2 linked regions of the Oreochromis niloticus genome follow. The protein of the gene in region 2 purifies or fractionates together with the protein of the main gene of each other region. This does not show direct contact. Links are inferred from orthologs where the notes say so. Each region holds a gene or a part of one and is shown on either strand. Other genes may lie near its edges.

Region 1 (7,919 bases), on a different chromosome or scaffold from region 2:
TGCATCTTTTAGTTTTCCATTATGGAGGAGATTACTATACTTAAGTCTGATTGCAATTATCAGACATCATTATTATAATTAGTACACAAATTACAGCCTCTATTGCAATCATTCAACTTCTGTTAATTATCACAGAGTTTTCATATTGTTACGAGAGCCTCAATAACCTGGAGACGATTTGTAATTCAATGATTTGATTCATTTAATACGAGTCTAACAAACCAAAGTAGTAAATTTAGTTTTGTTGTCTCCCCGAAAACAAAACAAAACAAACAAAAAATAAACACCTTCAAACTATAATTTCACAGGAAGGTTCCACCTAAGAGTGAAGCAGAGGCTGAGATCCAGTGTCACTTGTTGATGGGATATGTGCTTACTGATTACAAGACTTGACATTACACTGTTATTGTGAGAACTCAACAATACTGCAGCAGAGCCAGGTGTCTGGATTATGCTTCTACTTCTTTTGAAAGCCGTCTTTCTGTTGGTTTCATCAAGATGACCTTAAGGTCGCAATGGACCAGCTTCCAGTCCAAGTATGAAGTGGATGGGATGAAATTTAGCAACTTGAAGTCCAAGGCCACAGCTCTTGACTAGAAAAGGGTAGAGTAGCCCCTGCAGGTTGTGTACAAGTTGCTGCCACAAATGGAGGAGTTCAAATATTTTGGAGTCTCGTGGCTATACAGGAAGCTGCGGCAAATGGCTTTCTGCTAGGCCTCAAGTCCAGTACATGTAGTCACTAAACTCTCCAAATACAGTGGAGAGTTCACACATATTTTTTCTGTTTTCCCATCTCACTGTTTTCATATAATACATCACACATAATCGTCCATTCCATATCCTATACACATCACTTCATCCAATATCGAGGCACTTATTCCTTCTCCTCTGTCTTTTTCAACATTGCTGAAATTTGAGGCACTTTAGTCTGCACATAGCATTGCTCACACACAGTGCAGAGTGGTTATACATTATATTGCCAGAAGTATTCACTTATCACCCTTCATATGTATAAGTGCTTTAGTGATGTCCCATTCTTAATCCACAGGTATAATATGATATTGGTCCACCCTTTGCAGCTATAACACAAGATTTAGGAGTGTGTTCATGCATTGTTCTTGAGCTAAACTGAAGGTCACATAAAGTTTGGAGTTCTGCAGCGACTGACTCCACCTCAGCACACTATGCACCTCAGCATCTGCTAATCCCTGTTCCTGTGATTTTACATGGCCTACCACTTTGTGGCTGAGTTACTGACATTCCCAATTGCTTCTACTTTGTTATAATATCACTAACAGTTGACTGTGGAATATTTAGTAGCAATGAAAATTCACAACCTGACTTGTTGAACATGAGACATCCTATCATGGTACCATGCTGGAATTCATTGAGCTTCTAAATGTTTGTAGGAGCTGTCTGCATGCATGGGTGCTTGACTTTATACACCTGTGGCCATGGAAATGATTGGAGTACCTGAATTCAATGATTTAGATGGGTGAGTGAATACTTTTGGCAATATAGGGTATGTCAAAGTACAGCAGAACTAAGTCGGTTAGCAGTGAACATTTTCTGTCTTAGTTTATAAATATAAATATTTTCCATGTTCTCCCTGTGTCTACCTGGGTTCTCTCCGGGTACTCTGGCTTCCTCCCACAGCCCAGAGACATACAGTTAGCAGGGTTAGGTTAACTAGTGATTCTAAATTGCCTTTAGGTGTGAATGTTAGTGGAATGGTTGTCTGTCTCTCTGCGTTAGCCCTGCAACAGAACCTGCAACTAACCTTCACCGAAGTCTGCGTCCCGTCACAAAGTCATTTTAAGGCCTAAAATTGACCTTGACAAGTGCATTTACTGAGACACTGTAGTGTGCAGAGTGATGTTTATGTTGGACCATATTTAAAACAACAGATGCTTCAAAGGTTAAAAAACGCTAGTAGCTACTCACTCTGCTTTGGATTTCGAGCTGGCTGCAGCTGCCTGATCTCCACAAATTGCTGGAGTGCTGCTGCTATCCTGCTGAGAGCAGACGGATGTGCCTGAGGCTACTGGAGCTGAAACATCCCCAGAACTGGAGGGAGAGTTCTCCATCTGCGCCGCCTCTGTGCTCTGCTGCTTGGTTTCCTCACAAGGCTCAGAGGCAACCTCCAGCTCCTGAACTGTAGGAGGAACATACCTAGTCTCCTCTCTCTTCTTCAGCTCGCTCACTGCTCTCTCTCTGTCGTGCTCCGCCAACTTCTCGAATAACTTAAATGTCTGAGGAAAGATTTAAAGGTTATCGCTTATCATCATTTGAGAGGCAGACAACTCTAGCATAGGATCTAACCTTCACCGAAGTCTTAGGGCAATAACAAATGCATTGCTATAGGTCTGTGGCTCATATAGACTGCAAGGCTATCACCAAGCACAGGAGTTATTTTGTATTATGTAGGTGTTAATTCATCGACGAATCACTGCAGTCTAAGAAACTCGAGGACCACAGAAGTGTACGTAACATTATAACAGCTTCATTTTTAACCTGTGATTGGAAATAATATGCATGTGCACAAACTGTACCCTTAGTCATGTTTGTTGCCAAGGTATTTACATTTAACAGGTTAAAATGTTGAGAAATTTCACCTTAAGCACCATCTTCTCTGCCACACCTGGAGGGAAACCCATTTTATCATTGGGACTTGACAGCAGGCGATAAAAGTCCGTCTTGCGGTACAAGAACCCAAAATAGACCTGCAGAAAGTCCTGAATGTTCCCAACGTGCTGCAGGATCCCCAGAAGAGCATTATCGTACATCTCTGTCATCTCCAGCGGCGACGCCATCGCAGCTTTCAATCTTTATTCCTCTCAACAAGTCTTCAAATTATTCCAGCCAATACTTATCCCACCAAAATAATGACAGTTTGCCAAGAAACACAAGTATAGAAATAAGTGGGACGAGTAGGATAACGCTTCTTAGCAACTACTTTCCTCTTTCCAGAACAATACAAATACTTCCGGTGCAACGTTTTCAAAATAAGTGTGCAGTCTTTGACAAATATCGGGTACCGGGTATCAAAACAAAACAAAACAAAACAAACAAAAAACCCCACAAGCTATGGCTATTTGTAGTGTCTTTGTGTATTTATTTATTTTTTAATACATACAAAATCGAAACAATCACGCATTTAGGATGTCCCTTTTCAGTTCTTGACTCATATTTATGTATTTATTTTTTAATAGCACAGATAGGCTAAGCTACTTTAGGCTGACCTTCACTTGTTAGGCGAACCACTGCAGTGTGGACCCACTATAAATAAAGCAAAAGTATAAACGAACACAAATAATCGCAAGAAAAGTGACATATGTTTTCAAATATGGTATATGGTTTCAAAGAATCTCTTTTTAAATAAAGCACACTTAATACATAACAGAAACATAATAATAACTATAAAATTACTCAAGTATGCAAAACTAATTTTTGTACTAATGTATATTATACACAATAATAATATTAATCTTTAAAGCAAATTAATCATTAATAATTACAAGAACGACTATTGTTAAATTAGAAGGAAAAACTAAAGAGTACATTTTAGGTAACAAAAATGTATATTTTAAAATGCATCTGTTAAAAACAGGAATTTTAACTTGCTTTAAATAACAACTCGTAAGAGAAAATGTTGTGAGGAAAAATTTAGCAATTAAACTGTACATTAAACTGTGTGTTTGCATCCAATTTTCCTTGTTCTTAAAGCACAATGTCAATAATAATGAGTCTAAAATATCGCTCGTTTAACTACCTTAAAACTTTTATTTTCCCTCTTTCCGGTTGGTTCAGGTTAATAGTTGTCCGGTGGAAACTTGTGGAAACTGCCTGTGGAACAAACAGTTCCAGTATACAGCTCAAGTTCAGTATAGAAACGTTAATTTTGTTATTTTTACGTGTTATGATTATTCCTGAGCTTTCGAAAAGCTTCGGCTATTTATACAGTAATAAACAGAGTGCCTGCTGTGTTGTAGTTTAGTACCACAAGTTAATCGTTTGAAGAAAACATGGCGGCGTCCTTGAGCAGCATAGGGAGCGTGAGGGTGCTGGTAAGAAAGTCATTTTAAACCGTAACATTTAATTAATTTCCATTAAGTCTTGTTGACCGTGTAGCTATCGGCGTGCACCCATTAATTTAGCGCTACGTTTTGGTTAGGCTTTATATAACAATTTTAAGCTAGGGGTTAGCTAACTTGCTCTTGGCTGCCTAAGTGATAAACAGCAAAAATGTCAGACGTAGCAAAAGTTTGTGTCAGTTTGTTACTACTGCGTTGTATGACCACAGAAGCCAAGCGTGTTTGTTTGTGGCACTACGAACCTGAATTATCAAACATGGAAACATCTATAACAGCCTTTTGCCTTATCAAAATATCTGAAACTGCATTCTGAACACTAAGAACGGCAACTAAGATGTCGACAAATACCTTTTAACAATTCGTTATTAAACAGCTTTAAAACAATTTGCAATAGGAATAATTCACAATACAGCCCACTAGTTTGGACTGGCTATGATTTGATGATACAACATCTCTGACACAATGTCCAAGACATCTGTGCATTGTGTTGCAGAGATGCATTATATGGATAAAAGTGTTGTGCCACCTGCACATTACACCCACAGGAGCGTCTATGACATCACACGCTAAATCCATAAGCATTAGTGGAGAGTTGCTCCACCTTTGCAGCAAAATCAGCTTCCTACAAGACTTGGGAGGCTGTCTGTGGAAATAATTGCCCATTCATCAAGAAGAGCATTAATGAGATCAGAGACTGGTGTTAGACAAGAGGGCCTGAGTCAGAATCTCAATTCCTTGTATTTACCTTCATAACTTGGTTTGAAATATTTTGCGCTACATTATTAAGCAACTGAAACAGCCTCTGCATGTTAACACAGGAAGAAAATAAAATTCGCTAAAGCACACTGTTCACTACAGTCACAGCTTGCTGTCATGATCCAAATATTTATGTTTGTACGGATGTTTCAGCAAAACATGTCTCGATTATAATTATTTGCAGTAATAAGTTATTAGTTTTAGTAAGTATTCTTGTTTGTCCAATGCTAGCATACATCACTGTTTCACAGACTAGCATTAGCAGATGTAATGAAAGCCAGAGTGGTCAGTAGGTATTACAATTCAAGCACAATTGCTTCAGACATTTCAGTGTTTTACAAAGCCTCGACTTGCCCAACACCTCTTCCTGCTAAGTGGGAGTGTTGCATCAGCAAGGACTTCCAGCTTATCTTTGCTAAGTCAAACATGCTGAGCCACGTGCTTTGACATCCCCTTTGGGAAATAAGGGAGAAGCCAGATGTACCTTTTTTGATTTTGAAATTATTTCTGAAAATCAATTCAATACTTACTCACTGGTTTTCACTCTCACTACCTTACCTGTTTCGCAGAGCACCTTAGCTTGGTCCAGATCATTGTGCAGCCTCTCTGGAAGCAGGGGCCTCCATGTTACTGCGTCGTGCTGCAAGGTAAGCGGCCTTGGCCGTCTCAGGGCTGTTGTATCAGCAACACTAACTGTTTAACATTGTGTTTATCTTTTTAACTTTCACACTCTATATTGTTACATCAGTGCTCATTTTGTTTTAAACACAGGGATGATAAAATAAAATAAAATCTAAGTAAGTATTGTTGCAGATGTAGAATATAATGATAAAGCATTTGGAGAGCACATATCTCTCCTGAGGCAGCTCCCTCTCTGGTCTCTGGGCAGTATTTACTTTTATGGGAATAGTATTGTATTTTGTATATATTAATTTTGTTTTCATTGTAAACATACTTTAACAAATTTGTTTACATCCCCATATAATCATTTAGAGTGATAGATACAAACTATCCAAATGCCTATTTCCTATTTGACTTTTTATAAACCTGCTGCTCTATCACCTGAAGTATTCTGATACTTTACCAGAGCCACAGTCAGAGTGGTTTAGAGGTCACAACCATTTTAAAAAAAATAGTAGTAATTTGAGTTTTTTTTGTTGCTTTTTACAAAGGCAATTAGGTTGTCATAGATTATTAACTGTCAATGTGTCTGATAGTGTTTGCTCCAAATAAACCAAAGAGGTGCTCTTTTGTCTTTCTCTTATACAGAATCGAGCCGCTCGTATCCGAGTGGGGAAAGGAGACAAACCTGTGACCTATGAGCAAGCGCATCATCCTCACCACATTGGCCACCGCAAAGGATGGCTGTCACAGCACACCAGTGAGCATGACTGAGATTGAGAATATGCTCTCGCTACGCACATTTGATTTTATGCACACTGTCCTCTTACGTATTTGGTCATGAATTAGTTACCTCAGTGATTTTTATGGAAGCAGTCATTGAGGAAGCATTAGCATTCTGTGCTTCCCTGGTGTGGATAGCTCTCAGACTACATACCAATCATCACTGAGTCCAACCAAACTATGCACTTTAGCTTGAATGCTCCTGTGTCACAGACTTAAAGTGTTGTGCACAGGCCATCCACACACTGATACTGGGAAACATTTCCATGTTTTCAAAGTGTGTCCAACACATTTTCCAAGTCAAAACTCATTTTAGCATTTGATTAAATATTTTCATCTGTTCAAGAGAACCACAGCAATCAAGCACCTTCAAAGAGAAAAGCTGGCAAGACCCAGCGCTTCACGTATCATGTTTACCTTCCAGCTTGCTGACTAGTCACTGCTGAGCCTCTCCAGTTAGTGTCTAGAATTTGCAGCAAGTGGAGAACTGAGTAGGCTGCATAGAAGAACGAGAACCACCATCTATCTCTAACTGTTCTCAAACCATGAGGTTTGGCCCTGTCTGACCATGAGATGAGAGACTCGCTGGAGAGACAGCTGATTTTTGACTTATCATTGCATTCCTTTTATATGGAATGCAATGATAGTCTGTAAAGAAAACCAATGGATGTAGCCACTGTGACATCACCTGTTGGTTTTAGACTCTGCATTTTGAAGCCTCCATGTTAGTATTTTACTTGCAACCCTGTTGGCTTTTTGGAACCAGAATTTATCACATTAGTCATTAGTTAATTACCATACACATACTAAACAACAGAGCAATAAAATAATAGAATTTCACTCATCAAAACTGCAGCACGAACGGGACAGGTCCAGTTCAGTGTCTCAGATTATTGAAGTGAGGCCGAGCACACAGCTTTTCCCTGCTGCACTTGGCTGCTGTTCATTTCATTCTGTGGGAAACAATTTATGGAGTCATGATGTTTGTGCTCTCCACAGCCAGACAGCAGCAACTAGTGTTTTCATTTTATAATCTTTTTAGACTTCATCAAACTCTTCTCTGTCTTTTGATACTTTTCAGTGTCTGCATATGGTGTTTGCAGTTTATTACAGAAAGTGCATAATTTAAGCAAAATTAAGGCCTAAAATTAAATATATTTTCAAATATATCTCTAAACATAATATTAAACATGGTAAAGAAACTTAAAATAATATTTATGTTGTCTGATGTGACTGTGAGCCTTATTAATAAATATTTTGCTGAAGAGGCAGTGTTCTTTTCGTTTGCACATTTTTGTCAATCAGCGGCAGCTAATGTGTAATTCAGTCCAAATTCCTCTTGATCTTTCATGACAGCTCCAGTTTTTTTTCTCTCTTGCTGATAGGTAACCTCAAAGGAGAGGACGGGGCAGCTGAACGCACTGTAGAAGACGTCTTCATTCGGAGGTTCATGTTTGGGACGTTCCACGGGTGCCTGGCCAATGAGATTGTCATCAAAAGGCGTGGCAATTTACTGAATGTGTGCGCAGTGATGCTACAGAAGTTACCACCACAGAAGTTTTACTTCCTGATTGGCTATACAGAGTCACTGCTGTCACACTTCTACAAATGCCCTGTCAAGTTAGAGATTCAGACCCTGCAGGATAAGATTGTGTACAAGTACCT
Region 2 (7,215 bases):
ATTGTTTAATGGGTGATCAAGTAAACCAATTAATGCAGTGGCAAACTGATTTTTATGAGGGTATGTGGGGGGAGAAAGTTTGTTACGGTGGTCTTCTTTGCCCAGGCTGCACCACAGTGCTGGATCTCCTTTGTAAAAGGCTTCCTTTAAAATGTTTTTACCGTATATGTAGAAGTATACCATTTTGAGCTAAAATGGCCTCTTGGTATCAAGCCAGTTTGGACTCTTAGAGTTATACTTCATCTGAACATAATTAAGGTCTTTCCTTTATTTATTTATTTTCAAATAAGCCTTCTACAGAGCAGCGAATCTTTGAGCAGCACAATAACGTATTGCGCAATATATTTGAAATTTATATTTTTCCCACTGACAAGCAAATGTAAACACATTCATTTTAGAATGAGCAAATAAAGAAAATCTTTGACTTCAACTGCTTTGGTGTTTGATGATTAAATTGCTGACTGTATGCTGGGAAGCCGTGAGAAAGGGGATTTTATATAAAGGCAATCTTTGTATCGTCTGTGTTTTTTAAGCAGAGATGTTAAAGATACGAGATTATCTCAGTGATGTCACAAGCAGAAATCTTCTCACATTGCACCACGTTTCTAGCTCAAGTTTAGGTAGGGCTCTCAGGACAGACTGTTTCAAATAGTCAAAATAAAAAGTGTTAGTGTCCATTCAGAGTAACGTGACAAGGACACAGCTGCTGATCAGACAACAGTTCTAAAATTTCCACAGACTTCATTTGAGGCAATAACCATTCTTCGGGCGGCATGTTGTTTTACTGGAGAGGAGCAGCAGCTCGCCTACCCTGCATCAGTTTTCTGGATTTTTCCATCAGTCGCCCTGTCTTACGTTATGTTCTGCTGTGGCGACAAAGAGCCTGCAAAGACTAACATTAAGCAACAGCACTTGGTCTGAGTCTCATCAATAAGCAACATGTCCAGTGTACTGAATGCCGATAAAGAAATTGACCTCATACTAAATGAGATCTTAGGAAACGTAAACTATGGCGCAACCCGGGCGCCTCAAACCACAGGGTGAAACCATAAAGATCTGTATTACTGACATTTGCACTGTTTGTTCTGGTTCTTCAGCCTTGTGTCTCCCCTCAAAGTGTTTGTGCACTGAGCACAAAGTGTCCATCCCTCATTAGCAGCATCTTGTCTTGTGTCTTTGATATCTGATGGATTTGGTTTTAGATGTAACTCGTGCATGTGTGTGTGCATTTGTGTGTCTGTACACAATGTTCCTTCTATTCACAGTTCCCCCGCTGGCAAAGCCTGACGGTGTTCACCAATCTGAGACCCCTTCACGTACAGCCCAGTTTCAATTTTTAAACCAAAACAAGGTGATTTAAACTAGTCAAACAGAACCTATATTTACAATTAGATTAACATATGATTTAAACAGGGTAAAACAAGTAGGTGAATGCAGACATACATTAGCATCATTTCAAGTAAATGTTGTGTGTTCTATCAATTTGACCCTTTTAGCTTTTGCTTTTTCTTTATGATAAATATCCAACTATTAAACAATGTAAAGAGGAACAGTGTGCAAAGAGTGACAGCACAGAGATGATGGCATGTAGACTAAATGTACAGCTACTTTGCAGAGGAATGCAGGAACAGAGCATATTAAGACAAAGACACACACACACTTCAGCCTATCTGTACGTTCTGCCTCATATCCGTAGTCTGCTGATTAATATGTGAACGTGTGAGTACACAATGTGCATGGCAAACAGACATCCTGAACCAAAGCACTGTTTGACATACGGGATTTTTTTTCCCCTTTCACCCAACAACCCTTTGCAGAGTTTAAAAAGCGACAGGAGTTGACTTTTTGAAAAAGTCAAAAATTAGGTTTGACGTGAAATTTGACACTGCGAATCTTAAAAATAGATTGTTTTTGTTAAAAGGTAACAGAGAACCCCCCTCCCCCCGTTTTCTTTAAATAACATATCATATCCTTCAGTGCTTTTAAAAACAACAACCAGTTTATCTATATTCCGTATCTACCTTGAGGCAGTTTGATTCATCTCTGGGATGTCGCCTCAGCCTCTGTTTTACAGGGCGACTTGCTTGTGCTGCTTGTGCTTCAAATCTAACTACCCATGCAGGGACGCCCGTGTATTTGAAGTTATTCAAGGGGCCACCATCATATCCTGTAATGTTCAAGTGCTCCAGAATAAATGCTCGAGCGCCAGAGTTGCTGGTGTAATTCTCAGAAACAGTTACACAACCTGTAATTTATGTAGGTACACCTAGGCTTACACGTAGTCTAGATATAAACTGTTGTCCTCATCCTTCCTTTCCACAGGGACCCGCAGCTAAGTGCCACATTTACACACACACACATACACACACACATACTTTCACCTATTAACCCCCACCACCCACCACAAACACACGCGCGCGCGCGCGCAGTGCCTTATCAGCCTTTATTTTCCAGCGCACAGTGGGATATAGCTGTAACCTCATGCGTGTGAAAAATTCGGCATCAATTCTGAGATACGTTTTGATTTTTCTCTCTTTTTGTATATGTGTGTGCGTGTGTGTGTGTGTGTGCGTGTGCTTCTAAAAAGCAGTCTTTAAATACAATGAAGCTAAATCTTCACGATGTATCACAAGTGTCAGTTTAACTCAGCCAGGCATGAATATGCCTTAATTAGCTCCTTAATTAAGTCTGTCAGCAGCAGAATAAAGAGGAGTAAATTAAATCACTTACATGTTCTTGTGATCCGATAATAACAATTTCTTCAGCGAGTCGGTCGGTAAATTGGAAAAGCGCGTCTCTTTCACCTAATTCAAGCCCGCCCTTCTCATCTCATATCCATGGTACTAAATGTTCTGCCCATGTGGTTATTAAGCAGCGCTCTTTCAGTCTAGTTATCCCTCCTTCCCTCCCTCTTTACTTTAATCTCCGTCCTCGCCGGTGACGATAAACCTGCCGGTGTAGTAGTAGCCACATGGAGCTCAGACTTCAAAATGACACCGGGGAGGTAGTGAGGCAGAGAAGCACACAGAGAAAGAAAAGAGAGAGAGAGGGGGGGGGGGGGTAGAGTTGTGGGAGGACGTTTAGAGTAAAATTAAGGGCAGGTCTTGGAAAGCAGCCACAAAGTAACACAATGTTCCGGCTGTACTGTAGCTGTACCGCTGCCGCTGCTGATGAGAACACTGTGTTCCAATAGACACCCTGACCTGTAACCCGTTCCGTGCCGAGACAGCCAGGCCGGGAACAGCCTGTACCGCAGCAGGCTGTCCTCCCCGCTCAGCTGACAACACGTATCATCAACAGTACTGTGTAACAGCCCGCCTGCAGACACAGATGAGGATGTGTAATCACCGAAGTAAAAGCACACCTCACTGCCCGATAAGACGCGCGGTGATACGGATTAGCGCACTGTTTCTGTAGACTTACAAAGAAAAGGGGGGGGAAGTAGCGTCTTTGCTTATCGGAGACTTTTATGGCTTAAAGGACAGTTTTCTGTAACTTATTTCAGGGTAAGGACTTCAACAAAAGCGCATGCATGTTATTTTTTACTACTGTTTCTTTTATTAATTCCTGGTGGTATTTTTCCATTTTGGCATTTTTACTGGGCGGAGATCATTTGTCATCTTTTCCCAAACAGTCTGTGTTTACATTATTGTGGTGTTTACGGCTTTGCAGCAAAGTATGAAGATCTTTTACTAGTTGGAAAAAATACCACTCAACCAAGTTAGATATAAAAATAAAGTCAAATATAAAAGATGATTTTCTGTGTATGCTCCTCATGTTACATACTAATTCTCTATTCTCACTGCAAGGTGTTAGCTTTTGTTTTACTAACTTTGCAAGTAAAATCTTGGCGACAGCTGTTTTGCTGTCAAACCAGTAACTTAAGACATTTTCTTTATTTAAATCTTATTAAAGTACAAACACATATTGATGTACTTAGAGTGAAAAGTCCTGTGTTAGGCGTCCATTTAAATGTATAAACACGGTTCAGATGGTGCTGTGTGTGATTCTAGTATTATGGTATTCTAGTAATGTGCATCATATTCTATTAACTCTTGTTTTGCAAGTCAAATTTTGGGAACTATAAGTTCCTATAAATATAGGCTATATGCACTGTGATAAAAAAAATACAAGTCATTATTAAAAGTAGAAGTACTCATTGTGAGGGAACATAAGGGCAGTCCCTGACAAAGTGCTGAATGATAAGTCAATGTAATAAACCAAGAACAGATGGTGAATATGCCTAATCCTGTCTCATCCTATAAATCATTATTAATCATCAATTAATCATTAACCTCCCGATACAATAGTTTTCATATTTTGTCAGTATTTTACTCTGATGTGGATGCTCACTGGAGCACCTGTATGTTAAACCTGTCTAACCCATTACTGTAGTCCAATAATTGCTACTGTATCTGAGTAAATTACAAAATGAAAATTACTTACTGTGAAGTACAGTTCTTCTTAAAGTCTTCAAAGTTTAATTAAAGTAAAAACCTAAAAAAAAATACCCTTGTCTAAGTGTTACTATATGTAATGGGGCACTATAAACACATTATAATTTGGGAGGTGCTTTTTAACCTGGAAATCCACATGAAGAATAAAATAATAAATATTCAAAATTGTAAATGTCTTTTAGTTACTGAAGTCATTTTGATTCATTATGTATTCCATATTAACAGGATTAGAAAAAAGTGTCACATCTAACACACACCTAAAGTGCTCACTGTGAAGCAATATGTTACATAACAAGTTAAAGTAGCCAACCTGCTTCAGGTGAGCATGAAATGCATTGCATTTTATGAAGGATGCTTTGCAAGTCAAATTTTGTTCTGGTCAACAAAGACCGCAGTTATCAGGAAGAGACAGTTTTCACCTGAAATATACAAGAAGTCAAAATAGTAGTGAAGTACTAAACACACACCAAAAGAGATGAACATGAGAGACACAACACCAAGTATTTTAATATAATATTTCAAAATATTATCAGGATGATATATATATATATAAAAACCCAGCAGGAGTTGATTTATGTTGCAATCAAACTTTTCACAGTGGTCATGTTCTTCTCCAAAGGGCATGTGTTTGAGTATATTTTGACCACGACTCCTAAACAGCCTGTAAGGAGGCAGAAAACTCTCATCATGTGGAAACCCCAGACTCACACTCTGCATGCTGACGAAATCTTGTGTTCAAACAGCCCTGCCTTTATCTCCTTTCTAGGCTTTTTATATTCCCTGATTTGATTAAAGCAAGTGTTTGCTTATTATCACATTCATAGTTAATATGTTTTCTCTTTCACATCCCTAAGATGAACCTTTTTTTTTTTACTGACACATTTACTTTGGAGATAAGAGAAGCTAAAATCCATAGCAATAAAATATTTTTATGGCCTTGCTTTTGTGCTTTTGCAGTTGAGGATGTTGGCATTAATATGTCAATAAACAGTGCTGAAAATATGACACGCTTTATGGCTGCTTCTTGTGTCTATGTTTATCACATTTATTGCATTAAAAACTATAAAATATGCCTCGAATTAATGTCATGACTGAATCATTAACGAGAAGTTAACCAAACTTTGTTCATGTCAGACAGCGAGAGGAAAACTTTTCTTTATAGAACCGAGATGCTCAAAGAGCCTCGTCTCTCTAGATGATGAATCCCACCATTATAGGTGGTAAGGATACTGTCTGACCACACTGCTGGCAGACAACAAGCTGCTATTGAGAGGGAACATGATGATCCTGTTAATTATATAGGTGACATAACACAAGTGAACCTGACTCTGCAAACGCAACAGGGATATTGTCAGCTGGGGTGAGTAATCTTCTGAGCATCTGGTTATCGGAAGAAAGTAGCTTTCACACACATGTGTTTTAGAACATGTTATTCACATTTAAAGGAGGAAAAAAACAGCACAGAAACAGAAAGATGTGGTCGTGTGATGTAAAAACACAACCTCACTATGTCTCAGTGCCCGCATGAAACCTTTAAAATAAAAGTACTGATTATTTAAGATAAAACACCATGTCAGGACGGTTAACTCCTGCACAGGCAAAGGTTGGTTTGTTTGTTTTACCAAAATTCGTGAACTGTGGTGTCCTGGTTGCTTTGTCTCTCTTCTTTTTCCCTACACTGTAATGCTTAACTGGAGGTCAAAATGACCTAAACAGGCTTGGGCTGAACTGAGATGCATGAATAGATATGTATAGTGACACATGGCTTGAGATGTTGTTTTCCTTCCTGAAACATCAAGAACATCTTGTTTCTGTTCTGGTGAAAGCACCCAGGCAGGCGAGAGACAAAAAAAGAAGAAGAAGAAAATGAAAATTAGATGGTCAAAGGTTACATCAATGGTCTGTGGCTGTTTTATATAAATATAATGGGGACATAGATGCAGCTGTAACTTATTTTTAGAACTTAGTGGCCTTCTTACTGCTACTTACCTATCACTTTGCATCAGAAAGTCATTTAATCTTTGCTAAAACAAAACAGTAAACAGCAAAGCTGATAGGTGCTTAACAGATTTTGCTAAATACTGTGTAAAGTACAAAAATCTGACAGGCAGTTGCAAGAATCCGTCTGTCTGAATGAGTATCTTGGTGTAACCAGAAGCACGCGGGTGAGTTCATTCAGGGATACGGGCTGCACAGTCATCAGGAAGTGAAACAGAACAGAATGTGCTGTACTAATCTGATTGAAAAACACTGTGCTGAGTGGATGCTTGAAAAAAGAGATGATTCATTTAAATAGCTACAAGGAGAACCCTATGGCAGCGGGGGAATATATGCACGGAAAAACAAAGGCAGCTTAATGCTTCATTTGGTGAAGCAAAAGGCAAATGTGAGGGCGAGGTTAAAGAAGCACTTGCTGTCACACAAACATGCGCTCTGCAGCTACAGGCTGAGCAACATAATGCTCTTTGTTTGTGTTCTAGGCATCCGTGTTATGTACAGGGGAGTAATCTCCCGAGTGATCCCTTTTATCCCTGAACTTTTGCCCCCCCCTCGAAGCAGGAGTTCTTTACTGTTGTGTCTGCCAAGGGCCCCAAATAAATGAATAACAGCAGTACTATTTTCATCATGTCAACACAAACCTTAAAAGGTTGTGTTTTATTGTCAGCATAGTTCAGTTTTGGTGTGTTTTATGTTATGTTTGACATTTATCACTTTGTATAACTGTCCTGAAAGATATTAACTTCTTTTTGTTTTTGAG

What was found. Proteins that work in one complex are often made in the same cells at the same time.
Region 1: the proteins of fkbp5 (region 2) and nudcd3 purify together in Homo sapiens (affinity purification with mass spectrometry; 3 studies listed by BioGRID and IntAct, with this or other methods). This does not show direct contact. The link is inferred for Oreochromis niloticus from reciprocal best matches to the Homo sapiens genes FKBP5 and NUDCD3.

Annotation. Positions count from the first base shown.
Region 1 is NC_031972.2:9,661,702-9,669,620, reverse strand, and holds the start of nudcd3 (nudC domain-containing protein 3), read right to left. Parts: upstream 3,001-7,919; 5' UTR 2,814-3,000; coding exon 2,616-2,813; intron 2,253-2,615; coding exon 1,945-2,252; intron 1-1,944. Other genes in the region: mrps24 (small ribosomal subunit protein uS3m), read left to right, coding at 4,026-4,067, 5,420-5,497, 6,120-6,231, 7,640-7,919.
Region 2 is NC_031970.2:16,196,381-16,203,595, reverse strand, and holds the start of fkbp5 (peptidyl-prolyl cis-trans isomerase FKBP5), read right to left. Parts: upstream 3,019-7,215; 5' UTR 2,731-3,018; intron 1-2,730. UniProt on the Homo sapiens protein: Immunophilin protein with PPIase and co-chaperone activities. Component of unligated steroid receptors heterocomplexes through interaction with heat-shock protein 90 (HSP90).